Linked DNA regions of Stegostoma tigrinum. The protein of the gene in region 1 purifies or fractionates together with the protein of each later gene. This does not show direct contact. Links are inferred from orthologs where the notes say so. Each region holds a gene or a part of one and is shown in the gene's direction. Other genes may lie near its edges.

Region 1 (7,924 bases):
TTTTATAGACTTCTAGAAGGCATTTGATAAAATCTCAGATAGATTGTTAACAAAGTTAGAATCTACAGAGTTGAGGGAAAATTACTCACAGAGCTGGGAAATTCTTTGAGTTACACGTTACAGAAAATAGACATAGTGGGTAGGTACTGAAACTGGGACAATGTGACCAGTGGTGTCTCACAGGATTTTTGCAGTAGGGCTTCAATTATTCACATTATTTACTAACAACTTGGATAATAGCATAGAAAGTCATGCATCCACATTTGCAGAAGACACAGTTAGGCAACATTATAGACTGTGTAGGTGATAGCGTAAACTTACAAGGGGATATTGATAGTCGAAATGAATGGGTGAAACTGTGGCAAATGGAATTCAATGTTGGCAAGTATGAGGTTATCCATTCAAAAAGTACAAATTAAGCTACTTTCTGGATGGTTCTGGAAGTTAAATATAATGGATGTCCAAAGACACCTAGAGGGTTCAGCTGCGTAGATCTTTAAAATACCATTAACAGGTGAAGTAATAAGCAAGAAAGTGAATGGAATCTTGCACTTTATATGTGGAGGATTGAGATACAAGGATGCAGTAGATATGCTGTAGTTGTACGAAATACCGGTTACATTCCATTTTGAGCAGATTTCTCACTATACCTTAGAAAGGATATATTAGTCCTGCGGGAATGCAACATAGGTTTATGAAAATGCAACGTAGGACTTCAGGGATTATGTTATGAGAAGAGAGTATACAAATGAGGCCGGTTTTTGTTAATTTTTAGAAAGTCATGGGGTGGTCTGATTGAAGTTTTCAAGATATTAACAGGAGAAGACGGTGTAGATAAACTATTTCCACTAGTTGGCAATTCTAGAATTAGGGGACATAGTCTGGGAATTAGGGCCAGACCATTCAGGAGAGATGTTAGGAAGCACATGAAGAATTTTCTTCCACAAATGGCAGTGGATGTTGGATCAGTTGTTATTGTTAAATCTGAGAGAGATCTATTTTTGTTAAGCAAGGGTATTAAGGAATATGGGCCAAAGGCAGATACAATAATTTAGGTCACAGATCAATCATGATTTCATTCATGTTTGAGTGCTGAATGGCCTACTCTCATTCCTATGTTACAGAAGATAATATAAGCATTGCCACATCAGGTAAATTACACTATTGGAGGCAATAGTCAGTCATGAGGTGGCCACGTTTGTTCTGTACATAAAGAACTGAATTGGACTTGGTCAGTGCCTGCACAAAATCAAAGTCTTTAAAATATGGAAATTTTTGAGCCAACAGGACAACTAAAAATACATTAAAAGCCTTTGACAAGTGACAGAAAAACTTTAATAAGAACCAGGCAAAATAAGGGAGAGACATAAAGCAAGGCCCCAAAGAGAACAACAGGTTCACAAAATCATTTGCAGCTTGACTGACAAAGTATTATTTTTAAAGAAAAGAGGAACTGCAATGTAGCATAAAGAACTTTTACATTCTTGACACATTTCACAATCATTCAAACTTACTTATAATTATACAGAACGGAAACAGACTAATTAATCCAGCTGTACATGCTTCAGATGATCCTCCACCCAACTCACTTCATTACACCCTATCAATGTATACTTTTTAAAAATTTACTCATGCTAAACGTAGGTCCCTTTAAATTCATCTGCACTATCTTCCACAATCTTACGTGGCAATGGGGTCTACATGCATGCTATCTTCAACATAAAGAAGTTTGCCCTGAGTTTCTTATCAATTTATTCATGACTTTTATATTTTGGGCCTTAATTTTGAAAATTCCCGTATCTTTCCCATTGAACGCCTTCACAATCTACAAATGATACATGTCGTATCATGTCATCTCTCAGGCTGAAACACCTTTGAAGTAATATTTTGGACAAAGAAATATATCAGCATTGTGAGTAACTCCTTGATTTATTAGGTAAGATTGACCATACCAACAGTCCTCTAGCTCAATATACAACAAAAATCATACTCATGTTATGCAGATGTCAAGAGGGGTTCTGCCAAAACATGCAATTCTGTTCAATTGCCAAGGCCCCCAAAATTATTCGAAAAGAACTCCAACGGAAATAATGTGCTCTCCTTTGGTAAGAACAAAGGGAATTACAGTTGCTGTCTTCACTTCTGTACAGACAGTGGGAACATTTTTTTGAGCCAAAGGGAAGATGGTTTTAATTGTGGCTGATTACTATGCTGGGTGGATGGAGGTAAAACATCTACGTGGTCACATGCCTGAAGCTGTCATTGCACGTTGAAAATCTTCGACACTTGGGATTCCAAGCCTAATCATTTTAGGCAAGGCCCACACTTTCCTTGTGAATACTTCAAATACTTGTGAGCTTGCCCAGAAGACTAACTCACTGAGTTATTTACAAGCTAATAGTGATGCCAGAAAGGGATTAAGATAAATTTTTTACTGAAAAAGAATGACGACATTAACCTGACACTACAAAGTTATCATTTTATAATGCTATGGGGTAGTCTGGCTCTGTTTGAGTTTCCAATGGGAAGGAAGCTGCACTCAATTTCTTACTCTTTTATGTCCATTTATATGTGTTGTAAGATATATGCTTTAGATTGATTAAATACCATTTCACTCATACACAGATTTATATTAATTGCCAGAGTACTCAATTTATAGATCTCCAGGCTGCGGAGTCAACATGGATTCATGGTCAAGGACAAGTTATTGAGAAAAACACTACATCTGGAGCACAATCTTGTGGAGACAGAAATTAGGATGGTGAGGAAAAACAGGAAAACATTAGTTTCGATCAGGAGACAACCTTCTACCGAGTTCACCAATTATTCTGCAGACCCGGGAGATGGCACAAAAACTGAGCTGGTATCATCTGACAGTGCTTATTCTGCTCAACAGAGTTTGATTGCAAGTACCACAATGAAGGCCTTTTGAAAGCCATATAAATTGATAGGAAAAGGACTTTGTAATTGTTAATGTTACTGAAAGAGGTAAAATTAAAGAGCTGATGTTTGGCATAGAATTTTAGTTTAGAATCAAACAGCATCATAAGTCATTTTTTAACAAAAAATGGCAAATCCATCTTGTATAACAAAGTGTGGAGCTGGATGAACACAGCAGGCCACGCAGCATCTTAGGAGCACCAAAGCTGACGTTTCGGGCCAAGACCCTTCAACTGAAAATCCTTTCTGATGAAGGGTCTAGGCCCGAAACGTCAGCTTTTGTGCTCCTAAGATGCTGCTTGGCCTGTTGTGTTCATCCAGCTCCACACTTTGCTTTCTCAGATTCTCTAGCATCTGCTGTTCCCAATGCTATCAATGTGGATTTCACCAGCTTCAAAATCTCCCCTGCCCCCACTTGTCCCAGCCTCCGTAACCTGTTGTTCCTCTCACCTATCCCCTCCTCCCACCTCAAGCCACACCTCCATTTCCTACCTACTAACCTCATCCCACCCCCTTGACCTGTCCGTCCTCCCCACCTATACTCTCCTCTCCACCTATCTTCCTAATTATTTCAGAATCCTCTCCCCATTCCCCTTTTCTGATGAAGGGTCAAGGCCCGAAACGTCAGCTCCTAAGATGCTGCTTGGCCTGCTGTATTCATCCAGCTCCACACTTTGTTATGACGTTTTAAACAGCAACAGGTTTATTATCAACCAGTTTGGCTAAGTCATGAATACTCCTTATATCGTGAACAAGCCCCGGAGCAGGACTTGAAGGGGAGCTTCCAAAACCCTTGCTACGTATATCAAGGATAACAAAGCGTGGAGTTGGATGAACAACGCAGGCCAAGCAGCATCTTAGGAGCACCTCATCTTAGGTGAGAGGAAGAACAGGTTAGGGAGGCGGGAACGGGCTGGGCTGGTTTTGACAACATATATCAACGTTTGTTGCATTAAAGCTTCCTACGTATACATTTGGAATGCAACTCGGTACTTAAGAGTCATACAGCATGGAACACGACCTTTTGACCCAAAGGTTCTTGCCGACCAGCTTTCCTGAACTGAACGAGCTACATTTGCTTGTGTTTGGCCTGTATCCCCCTCATCCTTCCAATTCACGTACCTGTCCAAATTAAACATGTGTAAACATTCTATAAAAGGAAAATAAGTTTTGCTGCGATTAAGCAATCAAATCACTCAAATGTTCTCTGAAAAACGATTGCCATATGTTCTCCGCTGGTGGATTGCACAATGCTTGAATGAGGTACTTTATAAAGAAACTTATTTCTGACACACGAGACAGTTATCATACAGGCGAAATATATCGATCTTGCAATAAAATAGCGAACTGTGTTCCAATTTTCATGGCTTTATCTTTGGTAGAAGTGTTTTCGGTTCTCGAGAAGCTAGCCGAATCCTAGAAATACCCTACTGTAGCTTATACGTTACATTTTCCGTTTATGTGAAAGGATATTTTATTGCATTTAAAAGGTATCATATAGCCTATTACGTGCAATACGTCCTTCCGGCCCCCAAAGTTTTTCTTTCCTAATTAACTAGGCTTAGAGTTTCATTGCAGTCCTGGTTGGTTTTTACTTCATCCGTTGCTCTCCACGGAATTTCTCCTAGGTGCCAAGCGGTGTCCTGTGCAATCGCTGCAATTAGTTACCTGCCACAATGGACCAAATACTCAACAAGAGCGGTGCCACGTTCTGCAAGAGGATGAGTGGGGATTTGTACCATTGTGTTGGAAGATGAGCCAAGCTCCAGGTGAACTTGATCGTATCGACAGAGTGGAGTGCAAGAAAAAAAATGCAGCCCCAAGTAGCTCCTGTAACGAGGTTTGCCTGAACAACAGCTTCACCACTGACTTCCCTCGCCTTGCACTAACAATTGACACACGCTGGTTTCAGTGGCGTCAGCACCGGCGATGATACTGCAAGCTCCGCCCCCCCCGTCCCGCGGAATGCTGGGAGTTTCCAGCCAATGGCGGCACGATCCTTGCGCTGACATCAGCGCGCGAGCCCGAGCTCGAGCCCGGAGCAGCCGCACGCGCTGCGCAGGCCGCGGGCAGAAGAAAAGCCTACAGCGGCGCCATCGCCACCATTTGCTCAAGTGACGGCTGCGCCGCTTCCCGGTAAGGGCAAGGGAGTTGTTGGCTACGGAGTCGGAAACAGACCGGGGCGGGCAGCTGGCATCGCCTCCCAAACGCGGAGATTTCCCTTTTGCTCTCTTCTCCCCCCACCCCCCCATAAACATACACACACCCCCCTCCCTCCTCCGCAGGCCTAAGTTTTTAACTGACCGCCTCGCCTTGTCTCCTGCAAACCCGCAGAGGAAACCCCCCCCCCCCGGACTCAGGGCTGAAATGGACAAGCCGCTTGTGGCCAGAGCATCGAGCTCGTTGTTGGCCCCGGCTCCAACCTCTCCACTCAGTCAGTTTTTTTTTCTCTCTCTCTATCTTTCTTTCGGCACCGTAACCAAGGCGTGACTCGGGGAGAGACAGTGCCGGCCCGAAGAACAGCCAAACCCGCTGGCAATAGCAGTTCCGCCCAATTCTCCTCTTATTGGCTCGCCCAAATAAAACCGCCATTGCTATTGGCTGACTGATGCGTCCGTTGTTGGGCAGACCGCTGCCTTTCATTCGCAAGTTGCTCTGATCCTCAAGGATAAAGTTGTCACTTAGTTTGGAGTTGTGAACTGAGCAGCTTCGCAGATGCTCCCCTGCTATCTTGTTTTATTTTGCTGTCTGGAAAATACGTTAAGCTATAAGGTGATGGTTTTTACCCTTAGCAGTTTAAGTTCAACTTTCAGGGCGAGTTGACTTACCATATTTGTGAAAATGTACGTTTAAACATTGAAACAAAGATGATCAAAAGTGATCTTTCAGGTCTGTGGAAAATTATTGAAATGTTGACTATTGGTTGAGCAATGAGATGTTTAACGAAATGTTATGAACTGATAGGTTAATAGTTGAAATGAAACATCCTTGTGAATGATTTGCCGGAACGTCATTGAGCAATTCTTTTCAAAAACATTTCACAGCAGGTGGTAGAAATTTGAAGCTGTCTTCTGCAAATAGTAAATGATGCCAGATAAAGTAATTGTAACTGATTTTTTGCGAGATATGACTTGTGCATGGAGTTAATTTGCAGAATAGCCAGGTTGCATTGAAATGAAATAAGCTCAGGCGCTAAAGACGCACTTGTGTTCTATGTTCCTATGTTTGTTTGAGCAGGTTTCTTGGTTTAAATGCACAGAATTCTATCAAATGGGCAATCTGCGCACATTTTATCGTGTTTTCACATGACGGTATGGCACAATAATTTAAGAAAAATCATTGTCTGTTCTTGAAAAGAAGCAGATTATGATCAGTTATTTGCCTCCGTGTGCTGTTTCTGTTGGAACATGAAATGCCTTGAAATTAATTATTGCTTTCATACTGTGGAGTGTAATTGCTCTATTAGAATAAATGAGCTTTACATCTCCAATTTGCATGGGGGTGGGGAGGTGGTTGATGTACCTCAACTGGTTGAACTAGCCAATAATTTGTCACTCTGTCAATATGTACATCAATATCTCTCGTAACTTGTTTTGAGCATTTTGTTTATAGGCCATCGTCGGTCCAGGGTTTTAATCATCTTGGTTATTTAAAATGAGGTAATATTTTAAACTTTGCTGTCAAGTTTGACATTGATCTTTCTTTCAGTACGATTTGTGAATTCTTCTGTTTTTTTAAGTGTTTTCTTAAATGCTGTATTGAATTGTTTTTTTTGCTTTGAGCATTATAGATCCGAAATGATTCACCTCTCAAAATTTCAGCAGTTTTGCAGCCTTGAAAGCAGATTTTCCAGTTTGTTGTCTTGAGCAAATTATACACGACAGTGACTAACTTGTGTATGAATTGCTATTAGTTTCCTAGGTTCCAGGATTTTATTAGTTATTCCTTTCTACATTAAAAGTAGATCTGCCAGAAATAGCTAAAGTTTATACTGTAAGTCGTTAATTTGAGATACTCGTGCTAACTTATAGCATCATATCACTGTGAACTGATGTCCAGAATAATCTTAAAAGGACAATCATTCTTTGTATGACAAATACTTCTGAACAACAATCTTGATCTTAATTTTAAACTACTTTGACATTGCTCTGAAGTTTATGGTTATATTTGGAGTTAAGATCGAGCTAAATATTTCTATTTGTCGGAACAGGAGTAGGCTGTTCACTCCTGGAAGTCTGTTCTGCCATCCAGTGAGATCATGGCTGATCTGTGACATAACTTCATATACCTGCTTTTGGCCCAAATCCCTTAATACCTTTGCTTAACAAAAAATATTTCCATGATTTAAAACTAATAACTTATCTGGTAGCAACTGCTGTTTATGGCAGTTTGTTCCATACCTGTGTAAAGAAGTGCATCCTTACATCTATGCTGACTGATCTGGCGCTGACTGCAGTGCTCCTAGTCCTAGAATCTCCAACCACTAGGAATGGTTTATCTTTATCTACCCTGTCTTATGAACCCTATCCTGGTAATATCTTGGACATTTCTCTTCATATTTTGAAGTCGCTAGGTTATCTGTACTGTTACATGTTGTTAATGGCTTTCCTTGTAATCCACCCTTGAGATGAATCATAGAATTTTACAGAAGGAAGCCGTTGGCCAATCATGCCTGCACTGGCTTCCAAAAGAGCTACCCAGCTAGTCTAATTCTCAAACCCTATCTTGGTAGCCCTCTAAATTAATCATTGGCCATTGTTTGCCTGGAACTGGTTGCCTAGGAGGATGAAAGTGTACTTGATCAATAATTTGAGAAACAAGTTAGATGGGCATTTGAGGGAACCGAACTTGCAGTTCTCTTATGCAGACCGTAAGGTGAGGGAGTGGATTGAATCAGTTGCAGTACAGGGAGCTGTGTTGTGAATTGAATAAACTCCTACTGTGCTGCAATGACTGTAATGGTATTGACTTAAGGAGGTATTTT
Region 2 (6,911 bases), on another chromosome or scaffold:
CAATGTGGTATACTGCATCCACTGTACCTGGTGCGGCTTCCTCTACATTGGGGAAACCAAGCGTAGGCTTGGGCACCGCTTTGCAGAACACCTCCGCTCGGTTCGCAATAAACAACTGCACCTCCCAGTCGCAAACCATTTCCACTCCCCCTCCCATTCTTTAGATGACATGTCCATCATGGGCCTCCTGCAGTGCCACAATGATGCCACCCGAAGGTTGCAGGAACAGCAACTCATATTCTGCTTGGGAACCCTGCAGCCCAATGGTATCAATGTGGACTTCACCAGCTTCAAAATCTCCCCTTCCCCCACCGCATCCCAAAACCAGCCCAGTTCGACCCCTCCCCGCACTGCATCACACAACCAGCCCAGCTCTTCCCCTCCACCCACTGCATCCCAAAACCAGTCCAACCTGTCTCTGCCTCCCTAACCTGTTCTTCCTCTCACCCATCCCTTCCTCCCACCCCAAGCCGCACCTCCATCTCCTACCTACTAACCTCATCCCACATCCTTGACCTGTCCGTCTTCCCTGGACTGACCTATCCCCTCCCTACCTCCCCACCTATACTCTCCTCTCCACCTATCTTCTTTTCTCTCCATCTTCGGTCCGCCTCCCCCTTTCTCCCTATTTATTCCAGAACCCTCACCCCATCCCCCTCTCTAATGAAGGGTCCAGGCCCAAAACGTCAGCTTTTGTGCTCCTGAGATGCTGCTGGGCCTGCTGTGTTCATCCAGCCTCACATTTTATTGTCTACACCTTGGTATCTCAGATTCTCCAGCATCTGCAGTTCCCACTAACATTGACACACATTCCAGTATCAATTCAAATCCAAATAACAGTCTTCAAGGATTGAGGTTTACGCAAAAGAGCTGATGACATCAGCTACAATTGGAGGAACAGTGTGGCCCCATAGCTTTGGGTGCTGCTGGTCCTTTGGTTCTTCTGGATGACGATGTCTAATGTGTCCTTCTATTTGCAAAGATGTAGCTGCCGAAGAGTTGTCCAGCAGTAGCTGAGTCAGTATGCTTCCACCTTCAGAGAGGGTCAACAGTGCAGAGAGGCCAGGGAGTCCGGCCTCTGCACTAGGCTTTTATGAGCTTGTTGTTTCCAATTAGAATCCTTCTGAACAGTGTGTGCTGCAGCCCCCTCCTATCAGGCTGAGTCACTTACCTTGCCCACTCAGCATGGTTGTAGCCATTTTCTTTCCATTGCACATTTTTGATTTTAAGGGTAACGTAAGGTGATAGTGAGTACTTTACAGTGACTCCCAGCCTCAGCCTGACTATGTCAATGTGTAGTCTAATAGCCTTTCCGAGTGGCCCATTCTGTCAAAAACATCAGATTAACATTTCCACAAGTCCTCACCCAACTCATCTACATTCGTCTACATCTATCTACCCTTTCCACCCAGACTCAAGCAAACAAGGTGAACATGCCTGGTTTGTCATTCATGCCCACGCCTTGAAGCCAGGGTACTACTAACCATGAACAATTGCTCCTCCGTCATAACATATGTCCCAGCTATGCTTTACAACCTGGCACACATCAAAATTCTGCTGGATCCCTCCTCGATTGTAGTGCACCATTTGCACAGTGGGCATTCCCCAGTCCCAAAGGCTAACGTGTTGGTACAAGACTGTAGCCACTATTTCACCCTCACCTGTCCAAACCACTTACTTTCTGAGAATGGAACTGGCAGACTGACAGTGGCCCACTTCCTCAACCAAGGGGTAACTGGACAGTCCCAGGCCAAATGTGCCCAGTCTCTTGACTGCCATCTATACATCTCCCTAACCATATTATTGCTGCCCTTTGGATTGGCTTCAACAATGTCAATAGACTGACCTTGGCCCACATAGATCCTCTTGAGTGAAAACCCACCCAAAGGATGCCTGACATGGTCAGTTGCCTGGACTATATTGAGAAGTTGCCTATGATGTACTGTGCTGGGATCTTCCCTGACAAAGAGGCCCTTGGGCTTCTTTGAAGATTATGCTTCAGAAATTTCTGAAGAAGGGTTCTGACCTGAAACATCAGCTTTCCTGCTCCTCTGATGCTGCCTGGCCTGCTGTGTTCCTCCAGATCCACACAGTGTTATCTCAGACTCCAGCATCGGCAGTTCTTACTATCTCTGGTACATAAAGTTACCCATTATAGATAATCAGAGAAAATTATCATGCATTAACAGAACTGTTCATTACCTCTAGTCAGTTACACTTCTATTAAGTTTTGTACAAGCATTGCCTACAAAGTCTCTCTCAATGCTATGTGTGTGCATTGACATTGGCTGTTTGGTATCTCGTTGCTCCTGGTGTGTCACTTCCATGGCAAGTGCTGTGACTATGGTAACTGTTGTTACCGATTCATTTCCATTGCTAAGGGATGGTGGTCAGCTGCATACAGTGAAGTACAGGATCTTCAGCTGAATGGCAATGTCTACGGGTTGTATTTTTTTAGCCTCCTTGCTGTTTCATTCCGTAATAAGTCTGAAAATTCACTATTTTTCAGTTGAATACTTATTACTGTTTTGGATATTTTCTTTTTACAAGATTTAATGTACACCACATTACTAGTGATAACTGCTTGCTTTGCTGTAGATGCCTGCTGGGGATATTTCAAAAAGGGACTGGCTGGTTTTTGTTTTATCTGGTTCACCATTCAGCTGCACTTTCCTGGCTGCCACAGCTTGCATGTAAAAGCACTCTTAGCTGAAGTAGAGGTCAAACGATTACAACAAGTCATCCAGTACACCAAGTACAAATGCATTTCTCAAAGCAGTTATATAATATATTTTTACAGAAGCAAATATATTTTAAATAAATATTTCTTGAAAAAAAATCTATACAAGTACTTCCTGGTTTGCAAAGCATTTTAGAATTTCTTGTGAACAAGGCTGGAGGAACATTATAGTTCTGATCCCATTACTCCACGCGTCACAACATATAATAGAAATCTTTTTTCCAGGCATCAAAATGGCCAATTAAATGCTTTTTCTATATCATATTTTTAAAAAAATCTTTGAATCAGGTTGCTTAATAAAATACAATTTCAAATTTATCAAAGTACAAGTAATTTAGTAAAGATACAATAATTGGTTAGTGTTCACAGGCAGTAGTAGAGATGTATAAATGTTTCTCGTTCTCAATATCTCCACAACACGCATGCTTCGGGGAAAAGAGAAAAAGAAACAGCAGACATTGGCTATCTGGAAAAATGGGAAAGAAAAACATTTTTGTCAAGAGTTATTCTTAAAGGGAAAAGGATAAAGCAGAAGATGTTCCAATGTGCACTGTTCTGATGTTCTGGCATATGTGGTAAAATCATACATGTCTCTGAAGTCTTGTAAACACAGTTTGCTCATGGAATACAATCTAGCAATGTATTGTCAATCATTCTTTCATAAGAACAAATAAATTCCACTCAACAAGAGAGTTTTTTCAGAAATGAGAGAGAAGAGCTCGGCAGCTTTTTGTTAGAAAGCTCTCCCTGACTCAGCTTGTTCTTAGCAAGCTTCCCTCCAACTGAACCAGATAAAACAAAAACCAGCCAGTCCCTTTTCGAAATATCCACAGCAGACCATGCAAACTTAGCAATAACAAAATTGTTCAGCACAAAGATAAATCTACACCACTTTACTCTTCTGGTACAGTAGTTGTGTCTCTACTTTTTGGTAGGTTCAAGTCGCATCGACTCCAGAAATGCGTAATAAGATTGATCAGAAAGGTATATAAAACTAACAACAGCTAAGAAAGTCCTCCATTGCAGGGGTATGCTGCTGGGCGGAGCAGAGATCTTTAACTCAGCGGAGTACCTTCTTGCATTCATCCTGCCTATCGTTGTTTATATGGCCTCATGTGTATATGATTGGCTGGTGTATGTCACATGCTTGTGTAGCCGGAAGAGAAGCAGCGGTGAGAAAGTGCGGTAGCCATTTTCTGTCCAACGGTGTTACTTTTACTTTTTTTAAAAAAAGGTAGTGATCATCGCAGGGGACGAGCAAGGGGGGCGCAATTGTTTCTTGCGGATGGACGTAAAGATTATTAAAAAAAACTTAGCGCCGTTGGCAGGAGGCCTAGGTACTCTAACCTCTAGCAACAAGCGTCACAACACAGATAGGGGTCACAGTAACCCATAGCAACAGGGGTGACAGTAACCTGTAGCAACTAATGTCACTTACACACCGATGGGACAACTGTAAAGTTCTGAATCTCCTTAGGTTATTTAATCATTTAAAATATCATTTCAGTAGATTAATGGTTCTTCACAAATCCATGACATTCTAATCCTGTCACGATATTCTCACGATGTCCTCGTATTTGGAGATGAGGCATGACTTGTCATTGAGGTTGTTTTTCCGCATGGTCCGTCTATATAGTCTCCGATGTGATCAGTACCTGAGCACAATATCAGGCCCACTGATACGGAATGTAGTTGCCTCCTCTGGCCTTCAAGGGTTGCACTGACTAGGAATTCCCACACCACTGAGCATGTGATTTGAAGGAGGTGTCGTGATGATCTGATCTTTCTGTACAGGAAGGAAATTAGACCAGCATGTCTGAGCTGAGTGATGACTCAAGTGAGACCGAGCTTCTGAATCGCAGCTTGTCCATGTGGCATGGCTTTGAACAGCTAGTTGGCTGTGAGGACCTGGATGTCCCTTTAGACCTTCACACGGCATCATCGATTGGACAGTATGATGTGGTGAAGGAGTGTATCCAGAGGTAAGAGCAGGAAGACTGTTAGTTGCCAGTGAGACCCAATGTGCAAGGATAATAATTTAGCCAGCATAAGCATGTTTACTTAAAGATGTGAATTCTTCCAAATTAACTTTTACTCTGCTTGTAGAAACTATTAAACTGGCTGATTTATGAATCCTCATGTATCATTACATCAGGTGCTTCCATACCTGAATGCTGTCAATTGATCCACCAAATCACTTCAGCTGGAAAGTGCTTATGTGGATTACAGATTGATGGTCAGTATTATCAATCTGTTGATAATTCCACTGAAAATCATTACATCAGCAATCCTAGAATGAAATCTTCATCAGTAGTGCCAGCGTTCAACACACTCCAACAAATCCAAAATCATATCTCACCTTCAGGAACCTGCACACTCTGCCAAAACTAGCCCCAACATAAGAATCCCTATTTAGTGCCTGACACAGTTACAGAAAGTGAAAACCAATGTCAAACTGTAGGGACTGTAACTTATCATCTTGCATTTCAGACAGGTGTTGACGGTACCCGTTGGTCGAGGGAATCTTTAGTGACTGGGTCTGTCTGTGTGTGTGTATGTGTGGACCTGGCTCAGTTGTGTATGACAGGGGAGTGGGAAAGTATCTGGCACTGTGTGTGTGTGTGTGTGTGTGTGCATGTGTGTGTGTGTGTGTATGTGGCTCAGATGGGGTTGGTATGTTTGTGTGCGGACCTGGCTGGCTGTGTGTGGGGGAGCGGGACTGTGAAATTGGAATGATTTGTTATTTGCCTTGTTTAGAGGAAAAGTAAACCCGAATCAGAAGAACCGGGGAGGCTGGACACCTCTGATGTACGCGTCATATATTGGTCATGATACTGTTGTTCACCTCTTGCTGGAGGCAGGAGTGGATGTCAACATGACAACAGAGAGAGGGCAGAGTGCATTGATGTTGGCAGCAAGCTGTGGCAATGAGAGCATTGCCTACTTCTTGCTTCAGGTCAGTATGTTTTGGGGTCAGTGATTATGCAGTGTGGTCTGGGGCAAGTTAGTGGTATAATTTGGATTATGGAAACAGTGATGGAGATAAAGTAGCACCATTCAGGCAACAGAATATCTTGGGTATGTAATGAATGGGATTGAATTGGTGCAGAGACATTAAAAGGAAACTGTGACTATAACACACATCACTGAAAGTTGATAAAATGTGAGGCTGGAAGAACACAGCAGGCCCAGCAGCATCTCAGGAGCTCAAAAGCTGACGTTTCGGGCCTAGACCCTTCATCGGAGAGCTCTGAAACCAATCCTTCGAGAGAGCTCTGATGAAGGGTCTAGGCCCGAAACGTCAGCTTTTGTGCTCCTGAGATGCTGCTGGGCCTGCTGTGTTCTTCCAGCCTCACATTTTATTATCATGGATTCTCCAGCATCTGCAGTTCCCATTATCACTGAACGTTGAGCCAGTGTACAAGGCAATAGAACTGGAATGCTTGGATATGTAGCCACAACAGATGTATATGATTCCACAGCAATTAAATTGATGATGTATAATGCACAGGGCAGCTCTCTTTTTACCATAATGGTTACCTCAAGATCATAGGTGTATTTATCCGGCAGAACTACTGAGCTATTAGGAAAGATTACAGACTACGTCGAGGAGAGAAGATGGTTTGCAGGATATTGTTCAGGATATTAATATTGAGTGGGAAGTTTAGGGGACATATCATTGCAAATGTTTGATGCAAACGAAGCTGCAGAAGTAGAATCAGATATCAAAATTTGGGCTTCAGTGGAAGGTTTTGGACATGGAGGGACTAAGGTGCAGTAGGAGGGTTAGGGTACTCGAAGGATTGGTTTCAGTTGGTACTGGAGGTTTGGGTTTACCTGGAAGTGTTAAGACACAAGAGGGCTGAGATTTGATGAGCTGAATTGCTTTTTCTTTCAAGCAGCAAGGGGCTGAACTGGAACTGAAGGATCACAGAGGCTGGACTGCACTGTTCCATTGCACGAGCACTGGACACCAGCAAATGGTGAAGTTCCTTCTGGATAATGGGGCTGATGCAAATCTAAAGTAAGATACGGGGTAGATATGATTTGCATGTCCTTCATCCTGAGAGCATATTCTTTGTTCAATGTTTTGTTCACTGCTCACACAAATATTAAACATCTGCTAATGCACAACAGGCCTACCTGTATTTAAATGGTTAATAGTGTACAA
Region 3 (7,133 bases), on another chromosome or scaffold:
CCTTTGAGTCAACAAGTCCACACCAAACCTCATAGCATTCCATGCAGATTCATCCCCCATAACCCACCTAATCTAGGGCAATTTAGCATGACCAATTCACCTAATGTGCACTTTGGACTGTGGGAGGAAACCGGAGCACCTGCAGGAAACGCACACAGACACTGGGAGAATGTGCAAACTCCACACAGGCAGTTGCCCAAGGCTGGGATCGAACCCCGGTCCCTGGTGCTGTGAGGCAGCAGTGCTAACCACTGAGCCACCACGACACCCCCTAGTTATTCAGCTGTTGCCAAAGGATATAAGTGAATGTTATATGTCAGTTGTATGAAAGACATGATGTTGGAATGTGACATGGAGGTGGAGGTCTAAAATGAAGAAGCTATCAACATTCTGAATGGAAGCAGGAAAAGTGAAGGATCACAAACTATTCAAACACCAGAACTAAGAGGAATACAAGACCTTTTTCCTTGTGAGCAATAGCACCATCTGAGTGATATCACTTAATTAAGAAGATTTTCACTAAATTAGGTAAAGAAGATTTTGACTGACAGGGGAATAAATTATTTACACAATGAAAGTCCTTTTAGAATTACTATCTCAAATAGAGGAACAAAAGTTTGAGTCTAGGCAATGGTCTTAAGAATAGAAGTACATCTACAGTTATGTGATGAAAAAACTACAAATATGGAGGCCAATAATATTTAGTAGGTGAATTCTGAATAAATTAATTCAAAAATAGCTTGGAAATTCACACATGGATGACAGTGTGTCTTGGATCACAGTGCATCCAAGTGGTTCTTTTCAGATTCGGTTAAATGTGGTTAAGAGAAGGCTCAACAATAGCAATTTGCTTAAATATGAACATTTATTGAGTTATAATAAAAGCTGAAAAAGAAAGAAACATTTATTAAGTAAATAAAAAGAATGATAAAGAGAGGAAAAAAACAATAAGCCTCCCGCCCTTATGCCTGTCAGGGTCCCCTTGATCGAGGGCTGGTCTGGAGGCTGAGTTGTTTCTGGCAACATCTGCAATCCTGATCCGAGGTGAAGTCCAGTGACTTGGAACAAAACTCTCTCTCTTATACGGTGTAACAAACAGCAAGGCAAAGAAAAAAACAATTATAGAAAAACACGATTGTGCTGTCTTCAGCACATACAGGAATGCTCACTGGACTCCTTCAAGGTCGTGCAGCTTTCGAATATCATCATTGACTTTTAGCCCTTTGGTACATCCTATCCAAATTACAATCAGAAATGGAGGTGCTTTCTGGTTTTGGAGACACTGAACAAACGAACAGACAGCCCCATTTTTAAATATGGGGTGGCATAAATACAAGTGTTTCAAAAGATTTGGAGATTACATAACTGAATGATAGAGGAAGTTCTCCAAGAAATCTCATATCTTAGAGAATAGTGGGAAAACTGAGAAGAATCACTGGTGAATTCCTGAAAGCTGTGGCACCAAGGACCGGGGTTCGATCCCAGCCTTGGGCAACTGCCTGTGTGGAGTTTGCACATTCTCCCAGTGTCTGTGTGGGGTTCCTGCAGGTGCTCCGGTCTCCTCCCACAGTCCAAAAATGTGCCCATTAGGTGAATTGGTCATGCTAAATTGCCCTAGATTAGGTGGGTTATGGGGATGAATCCTAAAAAGTGTAGACTCAGTTAGATCCTGCACGTGCAAGGGAACACTTGGGTGGAAATAAAGATCATAAGATATAGGAGCAGAATTAGGCCATTTGCCCATAAACACTATTAACAGGGACTTTGCATTGAGATTTTTGCATTGAAAATCCAACTGTTTACAAAATAGAGTGTTAAACTAATTATACTTGTTCTATTTAGCTCTTGTACAGTATGAGTTCTTTTTGTTTGAAATGTGGATCTATGACACATTATTCTTTCAAATAATAATTGGTAGTTTGAGTTGGGGTTAAATGTTAATAATCTCCTTCAAGATTGTAACATCATTTGAAAAAAATTCAAGCCAAAATGGAAAAATCAGGACAGTGGCACTTTATGCATTTCTCCATCAGAGTATTAGCATAATCAGAATGGTCTTCTTCCGTGCTAAAAACATTCTGTAATCATCTGAAAAGGAAGAATTTGCAGGGAGCAGGGAGAAAGCCAGGTAGTGGAACTAGATAAATTGCTAATGCCTCTGCACACATGAAAGATCAAAAAGCCTTCTCCTGTGCTGGGATCATTCTGTAATTTTGTCTTCTACCTAACCAGATCTGGTTGTGTGGGGTTAAGGTCTAGATGATAGGCATGTTTACCTGGGAGATGGTGCTGCTGTTGGATGAACTTGCTTGACATGGGATTTTAAGCTTCACGTGAAGGTACTGGTGTTACCATAAGACATATGACCATAGGCCATTTGGCTCAAGGAGTCAATTTTGCCATTCAATGAGTTCAGTGGCTGATCTGATAATCCTCAACTCCAATTTCCTGCTGTATCTCAATAACTCGAGAAACCCTTCCTGATCAAAAATCTGTCCGTCTCAACCTTGAACGCTGTAAGACTGTGACCCCTAACCAAGGACAAAGACTCAGGAGATAGACAGGATTCAGGCACGTAGTGGACATTTAGTCAAGCAAAAACCAGTTAATGCAGGGAGAGGGCCAAATAATCTTCCTTGAACCTGGCTTGGACATGAGAACACAATTGTTCCCTTAATCTGCATCTCAGATCAGAAAAGAGATCAATCACATGCTGATTTTTACAGTAAAAATGGAGTATTTTTATACATTTTGTTTTACAATGATCATACACAATGTGGTTACTGTACCCTCACCTTCCTGTCAATAGGACCAATCCTGTAAAACACCTGATCAATGATGGGCATTAGTATAGACAACCCTCGAATCCCTTAGCCTTTTAACAATTACTGTAATCTTTAGACTTTGGGACCTTTCTATGTTGCATTCCAAAGTTACTGGTCGCACTCCTCTGGCCACCTCGTGGCCCGCTCACCTCTGAGGACTGACTGGATTCCACCGTTTACTGCACTTGTCATACTCATCAAATTTTATTACTTCTTTTTAATTTAAAAAAAGTTAATTCTGTTATAAAATTCATATTAAAATTGTGTAATTACTTCTACAGTTAACACTCTTTAGTTAATGAGACAAGATATGCTAGACATCTCTTTAACGTTTTCGTTTGGTGCCTTCATTTTTAAGTTTTATAATGACATTGAAATTTTTCGTGATTTAAAAAAAACCTTTAACTAGAACCAAGTAACACTGTAAACAACTTCAAAGAAACAGCCAATCTGCGAGATAACACATTTAATGACCAGCCTCCACAGTCAAGAATTCCAGATTATTACCATTTGAAAGAAAACAAACTGTCTTAAACAGGCAATTTCTTTACTCTGAGATTAAGCTCTCTGCTCCAAAACTCTCCCACAAGGAGAAACAGTGTCTCCTCATCTACTTTGTTAAGCTCTACAAGAATCTTGTTTCTGTAAGATTGCTTCTCATTCTTCTAAATGTCAGCTACCCAACCAAGTCCAAACTACACGACCTCTCCCCGAAAGACAATTCCCCGCATCCCTGCAATCAACATAGTGAACTTTTCTCTGAATGGTCTCCAATGCCAGTGTATCTTTTCCAAGGCAAGGAGATCAAATTTGTTGACATAGTCCAGGGTGAGGTCTGACTAATGTCTTGTGTAATTTTAGCCACACCTCCCTATTTTTAGGTATTTTCTGATCAACTCAAATGTTTTGCACATGCTGATGGAACTTGAACGGAAGCCTCCTGGCTCAGAAATTAGGTCACTACCACTACACAAGGCTCTACTGATTTTCCAATGCTTTAAACTGCCCTCTGTGGGTTGCCCAAGCGTCTTCAGTTTTTAGTAGCACGGACACCATTGCTGTCTAATAAACCACAAGATCAGACTTGGGTTGCAGGTCCTGGTCCTGAAACACTATTTCATTCAAAAATTAGAGGCGTGATAAATTTGGTCATCTGGTTTATTTGCCGAATGTTTAGTCCATTTCTCTCGTATGCTTTGGGACTTCAAAAAAGTAGCCAGCCTCATCCCGGAGCGAGTGCATACAGAAGCATCACGTAGATTGTTCGGCAGCCCCCTCGATCACTGAGGTTAGTGTACAGCTGGGCTCTGGGACGCGCATGAGCGCGGGGTTCCCATAGTCAGAAGCAGAGCCTGGGGAAATCCCATTGTGACGCATGTGGTAGCGTCATTCGGCACAGCCTATTAGCCAGCCCTTTGGGAACAGTTCGACGTGTCGCTCGGTACTGAAGCCTCGTCCCTCCTCGCCGCGAATCGCGCGGTTTCGGGGCTCTTCAAATGAAGTCGGGAAGGAGGCGGGGAAACGAGTGAGACGGTGGTGTCTGATTGGTCGTTCGTCATGTCAATCGCAGGGAGGGTTACTTGGGCTCGGCCCTTCTGTTTTCTGCACCGACCCGTCAATAGGGTTCAGCACCGGGAGAACTGACCTCAATTGGTCGCTATAGTAACGGGAAAGACGGTTCCAACGTGCATCAGGGTTCCTCGCAAATCCCGACTGGCGACCAACTCCGGCGTGAGAGGAAAGAAGAACGTCGCAGCGATGTCGTTGCTTCAGGGCTGGACGCTGATGGGCGACCGGGACGCATCACCTTTGCTGTTGCCGCCTAGGCCTTAAAAAAAAATGGAGTGCGGGATCCCCCCAATCTACCAGCTTCTGTTCCGCGCCTGCGAAGAAGGAAACTTCGAGAACGCCAGGCGGCTGCTGGAGCCGGCACCGCGAGACGGCGACGAGGAGGATGAGGAGAAGAAGAAAGAGGAGGTAGAGCGGGGCGAGCAGGCGGCGGGCCCGGACTTCAGGGCCCCGCAGGTGCCCGTCGACTGCACGGACGACGACGGCAACTCGGCGCTGCAGTTCGCGGCCGGCCACGGCCACGAGCACCTGGTGCGGTTCCTGCTGATGAAGGGCGCCTCGGTGGACAGCCGCAACCGCTACGGCTGGACGCCGCTGATGCAGGCGGCCCGCTTCGGGCAGCTGGGCGTAGCGCGCGTGCTGCTGGAGCACGGCGCCGACGCCAACGCCGCCAACAAGCTGGGCGCCAGCGTGCTGACGGCGGCGGCGCGCGGAGGCCACGTCGGCCTGGCGCGCGCCCTGCTGGAGGGCGGCGCGTGCCCGGATGCGGGCGGTGGGGGCCGGCAGCAGCGGGTGGGGGAGGGGCAGGAGCCTGCGCTCGCCCCCGCCTTGACACCCCTGATGGTGGCGGCCCAACATGGCGCTGAGCCGCTGGTCAGGGCCCTGCTGGAATGGGGGGCTTCCTGCTCCGGAGCGCCTGCGGGACGCGCTGGGGGCTGGAGCGCCCTGATGCTGGCGGCACTCAACGGCGAGCTGGCCGTGGCCCAGCAGCTGGTCGATGCAGGCTCGGATCCCAATCAGACGAACGTGGGAGGGATGACCGCCTTCGAGATCGCCTGCGCCTGTAGGCAGAAGGAGATCAGAGACTACCTGGATTCCAAGACCACCAATCGGCCCAAATCAGGTAGGGGTTTGAAGGGGATGGCAGCAATGCAGATGCTGGAAATCTGCAATAAACTCAAGACGCTGGAAATAGCAGCACCATCGTAGAGAGAAACAGAATTAACGTCTGCAGTCCAATATGTGCTCAACCTTAAAATAACAGGGGACTTTTTAAAATTCATTCACGGGATGAGAGCGTCGCTGCTAGGCAGCATTTGTTGCCCATCGCTGATTGCCCAGAGGACAGTTAAGTGGCCTGCTGTGTTCATCCAGCTTCACACTTTGTTATCTTGTTCTATTATCTTGTCAATGTAGCTGAAATTGACAACACTTCCAACCAGAAGGTGGTGTATTCGGCTCCAACAAAATCCAGCACTGGCATAGTGTTGTGATATAACAGGTACTTTCCCGATGAAATGTAAATCAGAAGAAATGCCTAACCTTGTGAGAGGATAAGGGTCTAGGCCCAAAACGTCAGCTTTCCTGCTCCTGTGATACTGCTTGGCCTGCTGTGTTCATCAGCTCTGCACCTTGTTATCTCATGTATGAGTATAATTTATGCTCTTTCATAGAGGAACAATGACATTTAGTCATAGAGATTTACAGCAGGGAAACAGACCCTTCATTCCAACTCATCTATACCAACCAGGTATCCTAAATTAATCTAGTCCTATTTGCTTCCTGATATTTATCCTTTATCGCTGATTCTTGTAAAATGGATCACAACATGACAAGCAACCTTTGAGAGATAATGGGAACTGCAGATGCTGGAGATTCCAAGATAATAAAATGTGAGGCTGGATGAACACAGCAGGCCAAGCAGCATCTCGGGAGCACAAAAGCTGACGTTTCGGGCCTAGACCCTTCATCAGAGCTCTGATGAAGGGTCTAGGCCCGAAACGTCAGCTTTTGTGCTCCTGAGATGCTGCTTGGCCTGCTGTGTTCATCCAGCCTCACATTTTATTATCAAGCAACCTTTGAGCTTGCATCACCATTTTATCAGACAAAGACTGGTCTGATTTTCACTTCAATTCCACATTCCTGCATACTCCCAATAATGTTTCATCCCCCTTATAATCAAAAATCTATCTACCGATGCCTAAATTTGGATGGGAATTCAGAAGGTCTGGTTAGTACATCTGTGGGTGGCAAAATTAGTGGTATAGTCGACAGTGAAGAAGGTTATCTAAAGTTACAAAGGGATCTTGATCAATTGGGCCAATGGGCTGAGGACTGACAGATGACATTTAATTTGAATTAATGCAAGAGTTTGTATTTTGATAAAATGAACAAGGGCAAGATTTATACAGTTAATGGTAGGGCTCTAGGCACTGTTGTAGAAGAGAGACATAGGAGTTTAGATACAAAGTTCTTTGAAAGTTATGCCCTAAGTAGGCAGAATGGTTAAGAGGGCATCTAGCATGTTTGTTTTCATTGCTCAGACCATTGAGTGTAAGAGTTGGAACAACATTTTGAGGTTGCACAAGATGTTGGCGAGGCCACTTTTGGAGTACTGTGTACAGTTCTGGGTGGCCTGCTTTGGGAAGGATATTCGTATTAAATTGGAGAGGGTGCAGAAAAGATTTATCAGGATTTTGCTGGGATTGGAGGATTTCAGTTGTAAGGAGAAGCATGGAT

The links. Proteins that work in one complex are often made in the same cells at the same time.
Region 2: the proteins of nek7 (region 1) and anks3 purify together in Homo sapiens (affinity purification with mass spectrometry; 3 studies listed by BioGRID and IntAct, with this or other methods). This does not show direct contact. The link is inferred for Stegostoma tigrinum from reciprocal best matches to the Homo sapiens genes NEK7 and ANKS3.
Region 3: the proteins of nek7 (region 1) and ankyrin repeat and SAM domain-containing protein 6-like purify together in Homo sapiens (affinity purification with mass spectrometry; 3 studies listed by BioGRID and IntAct, with this or other methods). This does not show direct contact. The link is inferred for Stegostoma tigrinum from reciprocal best matches to the Homo sapiens genes NEK7 and ANKS6.

The regions. Positions count from the first base shown.
Region 1 is NC_081361.1:37,332,821-37,340,744, forward strand, and holds the start of nek7 (serine/threonine-protein kinase Nek7), read left to right. Parts: upstream 1-4,913; 5' UTR 4,914-5,076; intron 5,077-5,597; exon of another isoform or gene 5,598-5,712; intron 5,713-7,924. UniProt on the Homo sapiens protein: Protein kinase which plays an important role in mitotic cell cycle progression. Required for microtubule nucleation activity of the centrosome, robust mitotic spindle formation and cytokinesis.
Region 2 is NC_081376.1:31,370,820-31,377,730, reverse strand, and holds the start of anks3 (ankyrin repeat and SAM domain-containing protein 3), read left to right. Parts: upstream 1-3,892; 5' UTR 3,893-4,077; exon of another isoform or gene 4,078-4,534; 5' UTR 4,535-4,552; coding exon 4,553-4,722; intron 4,723-5,497; coding exon 5,498-5,696; intron 5,697-6,642; coding exon 6,643-6,764; intron 6,765-6,911. UniProt on the Homo sapiens protein: May be involved in vasopressin signaling in the kidney.
Region 3 is NC_081355.1:20,774,500-20,781,632, forward strand, and holds the start of ankyrin repeat and SAM domain-containing protein 6-like, read left to right. Parts: upstream 1-4,114; 5' UTR 4,115-4,664; coding exon 4,665-5,517; intron 5,518-7,133.